2 linked regions of the Drosophila melanogaster genome follow. The protein of the gene in region 2 interacts with the protein of the main gene of each other region in a pairwise test. Each region holds a gene or a part of one and is shown on either strand. Other genes may lie near its edges.

Region 1 (3,942 bases), 5.1 Mb from region 2:
CGATACCCGTGAGGGCCCAACAATGGCCACAAATGAAAAATCCACTTCGACTCATTGTGTCGCCTGTCACCTGGAATTAGTAACTACAAGTATGTTAAAAGGTTCATTCATGTTGCGCTTGTTTTGACTTTTGTTTCGCGCCATCCTCTCAGCCTTCCTGAAAGACATTTGTAGTTCTCGGCTTAGTTTTGGTCTGGGATTCGTTCTGGGGTCCCCGACATCTCGGTGCATCCGTGGTATCAGTTTCGCTCAGCAGCTTCACGGTGTTCCCTTGTCTGTAAATTGATAGCCAGCCAAAATAGTCCGCATATTTGCCATGAACAATTTGAGCTCGAGAACATAAAAACCGTAGCAGGGAATGCATTTATACAACCGTTGCACTTTAAAATCTTTTTATTTCAGACGAAATTGATACATTGCTCCAATTTTAAAGAATTTCAAATTACTATTAATAAAATAATGTAAAATAAAATAAACTTAAATTGTTTCAGGTTCCATTCGGTTTTCGTTTCAAGTTTATTTATGCTGGTGCCACAACATTCCACGATGACTCCAATGCGTTATCTTCAGCACCTAAGATCTGTGGGGTTCTAGTTTTCCTACTTTGGTTGATATCTTCTATGCCCTTATAGCTTATAAAACGGGTCGGATAGGTTTCAGTATTATACTCCGCAGATCCGCTAATGGCAATTGCCAAGTCGGTGCGCTTTTGAGAAATGCTTAAAGCGTGAGTTAGATCATTGATCTCTTTGAGATTAGTGGGGGTCCAGGCTTTGATGACAGCTTCTACGGAGTAATATCTATTTTCCTGGGTCTGGTTGAACAAAGCCAATTGGTTATCTAAGAATGACAGTTTTCTGATGGAAGTTTTCGTTAGATTTCTAACCTCGGGAACGTTCTTTAGTTCAATTAGAGAATTAATTTGCGATTTGTTCAGATTGTCAAACGAATCCTCTAAGCTATTTACTTTTGGCTCGATATATCCAAGGAGAAGTTGATTTACAAAGTTGAGTCTGTCATCCAATCCTTTTGTTCTGCGCAGAATTTGTCCTTGGGTAACGTTAAGTTTATCTACGAGGTTCCTTACACGATCTTTATTCTGCTCTTGGAGCCTAGTTAAATCTGATACGGCTTCGATTGATCGGTTGGCAAAAATGTCTAAGTTCTGAAAAGAGGTGACAACGCCTCGAAGAAGTTCCACTTCCCAAAGCAGAAGTTCCTGTGTCTGGTTTCGGAGAAGTTCCTCGGTGACTTCGATTGCATCAAGGTACTCTGCCTGGTTGTCCAGCTCAGCGTCTATTTTCCAGTTAATTGCGCTGACAGCATCAAGCTGAGTATTAAACCGATCTAGGGCTCCTGCATTTTCAGCCAGGAGTGCAAGAATTATTTCTTCTTCTGATGGTTGTTCAGTGGTTGTAGTGGATTCAGTTGTGGTAGTTGGCGAATCTTCCGTTGATACCGAAGTTGTTGTGTTATTTGTTGTTGAACCAATTGTTGTGGAAACTGTTGTTGGTGAAGACGAGGTGCTGGTCTCAATTGATGTGCTCCTTGTAGTCGTGGAAGACTCGGTTATAGATTCTGTTGTGGTGAAATCAGATGTGTTTGGTGAGGAGGTGATAGAATCGGCTGTGGTTGAAGTAGTTGTGGAAGTTTCATCCTTTTTGGTGGAACCCGATGTCGTAATTTCGTTAGTCGTAGAATCGCTTGTGGTAGAATCAGTTGTTGATAAAGAAGTTAGTCTGGAATCTGTTGTTGAAGCTGATGTTGTCGGAACAGTTGTGGTTTCAGTAGTTGTAGAATTATTTGTGGTGGAGTCACTTGTCGATGGAGAAGTTGTGGATGTTGTTGTCGTTGAAGATGTAGTGGAAACAGTTGTTTTTAAAATTCTCGTTGAAGCTTGAGCTGTGGTTGAAGACAGGGTCGCAAAATCGGTTGTGGTAGATTCATCTGTGGTGGAATCATTAGTCTTTGAATGAGATGTGCTGGAATCAGTTGTTGTTGTAGCTGTCGTTGAAGAGTGAGTAGATATTGAGGCCAGTGTTGTGGAAGTCGTTGTTGTTAATCCGTCTGCGGTATATTCACGGGTTAATCCAGTCTTCGTAGAACTTGTGGGGATTGAAATTGGCGTGGCTGTAATGATTGGAACATCAGTAACTCCTTCGGATTCAGTATTGGCCACTTCGTCAATATCCTCAAAGTCCACAAATTCCTCCACTTGATTGAAGGGATCTGCTGCAAAAGCAGCCCCCGTAAAGATCAACAAAAGAGTTGCAATTGGAAGAAACATTTTCAGACCGCACTTAATGCTTGTTCTTATAAAAGAACTAAAAGTTTAACTGCCATTTGATGGCCTTCACCCCAGCTTAAATACACTTTACATTGCCGCCCACGTTCACGTTTCGGTCTCAGGTGGCAGGTGTGCTATCTTCAACCGCTTTCTGATTCTCAGCATTCTTTTTCTTGTACCGTGCACTTTTTCTTTTATCGGTTTTATGCTGTGCTTTATGGGTCAGCTTGTACAGCACGAGTTTGATGTTTGAAGAAGCCACCGATTCTGGTTCATTGTACTTGCAAATGTAGACAAAGAAAAGAAAAACAAAGAGACACATGGCTAGATTTCCACAAGCGACAATTGCGGAATATCCATCAATAGGAAAGCTAACTATTAACCACATAAAAGTCAACGCCAGTCACATGGGGGTCACACTCAAAGTCAAATTTTAATGAAAAAGTGATTCATCATTTAAGCGGCTGCATCAATTAATGGCCAACGGGGTGAGTGGGGCGCAGAAGGGCGGGCCCCTCAATAAGCGGGTCAAATTAGAATAAATAGTTACACAAACAAGCAGACCCCTTTGCTCTCTCTGGCTCGCTGTAAAGGGGCGGGGAATTATTGCAACAAATCAAAAAATTAAAAATAAATAAAAATGAATTGAATAATTTGGGTCACCAATATATGGCTCTCTCCCTGAGGCGCACAATGCCTACGGAATGGGTCGAGTCAAGATGATGGTGGTCGCTTTTGGTGGTTATATGGGGATTGGGTTGGTTTGGGTTGGGTGGGTAGCTTTCAATATTCCTCATTAATTAATTGCCGCATAATTCATGTATTGCATGCTGCATGGATGTACTCAGAAAAATTACTTAGGTATTAGAAATAAGCTCAAATTACAAAAATATTTTGTCAAGTGGAATTTAGAAAAAGTTACCATTTGACACAATTTTTTTGGGAATTCAGATTATTAATCAAAAGTAGTGTTTGATAAAAATTAAAAAATTATTAAATGAAATCACAGACATACATTTAAATAATTAATGTTAATGATTTATAGAAGTATATCTTGTGTTACAAATTAAATTTGGACTCCGATTTTTATCATCAGTTTTCTTTTCCAGTGTTGGAGAAGAACTTTTGATGCACGTTCTTTTCGCTATTGAAAACCATGAAAATATTTGGAAATGGGCCTATGTTTCGGGTCCGTTCCGACTTCTTATGCTGGTTGACATTTAAACCCATTTCGATCGCGGCAGTATGGGGCTGATCCGTTGGGTGGATGGGAAAGGGAAGAGGATGAGGAGCTGGGAGCTCGGCATGCAATTATGCATTCATCAAGATTATGACACGACATGCAAGTTCCTCTTGTGTCTTTAGCAGCAAATGAATTTGTACTTGGCTGTGGGTGTTGTTCTTGTCGCAGTTTTTGCTGTAGCCTCCAGTGTTTTGATAGAACAATTTTGCCGCGGGCCATCTATTTTTTTCCATTTTACTGCAGGCTGTGGTGGCAGCACACGCGATTTGGAAGCGGCGCGTAATTAATCGTCAAATGAGTTTAATTGTTTATGTCTCTCGGTCGCGTCTGTGAACTGAATGCGGTGTCTTCAGATGACTTTCAGATAGGAGATGGCAGAATGGCAGAGCACATCGAAATTTGGCTCACAAGC
Region 2 (2,595 bases):
GGCCCCAAATGGCCGATCCAATACGGCACATAAAATCCAATTTAATTAAGTTGGACTCTCGGATTGAGACGCAGTCGGAGGATCGAGACTCAGATGGAGGCCCACAAAATCACAAAGTAGCAGCTGCCGTGGCAGACAACCTTGCCAACATTCTTAACGTGTTCAAGATTTTTACCAACGCACTGCATTTAGGTTTGTTGTTGTCGCGTTCACTTTTCAAATGCTTACGAAATGTCAATATTCGGCACAAAGTTATTTGTTATTTGATCGGATCGATTGAGCAATTGTTGATATACAATTTTTCTGTGTTTGTTCTTTTTGTCTAACGGTTTCTCATTGATTTGTTAGCTAATTGTATACGAAAAATGTAATTAAAATTAAAACGAGTAACTGGAAACCACAACGCTCGCATGTTAGCTTGACAAACGAAAAATAGGTAAATAAAAAATGTTAACACCTAGATCGCACAGCTGGCGACAACGGTGCGAATGAGTCATATTGCACCAGAGTAGAGTTTCAATTAGTTGCAAATTACGTGCCTAAAGCTAAGAACCAAACCTAAAAAATGTTATGCCGAGTAATTATAAAATATTTGGTATTAAAAGCATACTTGAACACATATGAGTGATACACCCAAAAATGGTTCACACACTTGTGTTTACTTTCTAAATTTCAGAAATCGCAAAATGATTTTACGTAATTTACGTAATTCAATGTTGCCACCATGACATTTCATTTTTACCATTTTTTCATTATTATTGCCCACCTATCAAACCTCAATTGGGTTTGCAATTTTTTAAACAATCGTAAGCCTAATTTGCTTTCATTGTTATGGATAATAAACGGACCCTGAGCTATATATGGCAAGGTTAACCATTATTTTGGGTCTCCATCACTTGAGCCTATATTTTCAAAACTATTTTCGCAAATGCCTTACTTCCTGGCAACCGCGATCATCGCGGGTGTTTCTTTTTTGGCTTACCAATTGGCCGGCTTAATCAAGCCTTCTATATGCCAATTAAATCCATGGCTGCTAGTAATGTTAGTTAGACCATAATTTTATGAAAAAGAGCCTTCTATGTCTTGCTAGTCATGTTTTATGCATAAATTGATTTAAGAGTTGAAAATGCGTCTGCGCATGTAGTATATATCTCTGGTTTTTTCTATGAAATTTTGTGTTCAGCTACATATAACAACGCTTGCTAAGGTATGTGCTTCTAACTTGAATTCATATTTACTCATTCATATTTTTTATATGAATAATAGCAGGTGGTTGTTGAACTCTTTCATTCTGATTTATCATCTGCTAAACACTGAAATTACAAAACTGGATCATTGGAGTATATTACAGATAAAATCTGACCTCAGTTTCTCCATTACAACATTATCAAAATTGTCATATAATTTAATTTTTAACATAATATGTACCTTTAACTGCATTCATGTTTTTTTTAAGTACTCAGGTATCTGCTATAAAAGGAGTAATTCCTTTTAAGCCAAGTATCAGTTGCTTCCTACTCTACATTCAAGCACACAATTAAAAGACCTATTTCAAAATGGCACTCTATTATATTTTGGTGATCAGTGTCCTGCTTGTCCTCGCCCAAGGATCGTATTTGTCGTCGGTGAATCAGGAATCCGGGGTGGGAGTGCATCAGTCTGGAGCTATTTCATCTAGAGCTCCAGCTGCCGGAATAACCCGTGGCTACTCCGCTGCCCCTCAGACCCAACGACCCATCTCTGGATATGGATCCCTCTCTGGTCCTGTTGGAGGATCCCGTCGAGTGCCCGTAGTTGGAGTGACCGGATCTCGTCCTCGTGGTGGAGCTCCGCGTAGTCCGTCTGCTGGAGCTCATGGACGTCCAAATGTAGGTGGATCTGCCCATGGAAATTCCTACCAGAATCGCCAACGCAGCCAAAAGCCTTATTAAGAAACAGAACTTATCATCAGCAAATGACCAAACCTAGATCTACATCCTTATTGTCACATTCTTATTCTACTCTCAAACCTTTTTCTATCGCAAATAATAACAAATGTTACATAAAAACGAAACTTGATTAAGATTATTTTACAATGGCAGGGATAAGATTGAGCATTGGGGAATATTCATTTCATAGGCATTACCTAGTACTTAATCCTTAGCAACAATGTCACCTTTAATGAACTGGTTAATACGCCAATTTCAGCTTTAGCGACAAGTTACGCACTCAATTGGCTGCACTTCATGATTTAAACATTTCTTGAATAGTTGCCCAAAGCGAGTAGCCATTTAAGCTGGGAATATGAATTCGATTTTCAAACCATTTAAAGTTACCAATTTGTTGATATTCGGCTATGTTAAGACGCTGATTCTTGAATCATTAAAATAAGCCAGAGTGCTAAAATAAACAATAAACTAAAGCGCATAAGCACATAAAGCACATATATATACATATGTAGGTTTTAGTACATCTTATTTCGTGCATAACTCTTTAATCATACATGTTTTTTTTTAAATAAATTTTTTATTTTATACATCCTACGATTCTAACTGCTTTACATTTTTTTTTTTTGTAATAAATCTGTATGTTTTTACTGACATTCAAAAATTAAAA

Evidence for each region.
Region 1: the proteins of CG14332 (region 2) and CG4066 interact in a two-hybrid assay, tested with the Drosophila melanogaster proteins (one large-scale study listed by BioGRID).

Annotation. Positions count from the first base shown.
Region 1 is NT_033777.3:12,309,698-12,313,639, reverse strand, and holds CG4066 (uncharacterized protein), read right to left. Parts: upstream 2,288-3,942; coding exon 521-2,287; downstream 1-520.
Region 2 is NT_033777.3:17,421,138-17,423,732, reverse strand, and holds CG14332 (uncharacterized protein), read left to right. Parts: upstream 1-1,530; 5' UTR 1,531-1,556; coding exon 1,557-1,931; 3' UTR 1,932-2,043; downstream 2,044-2,595.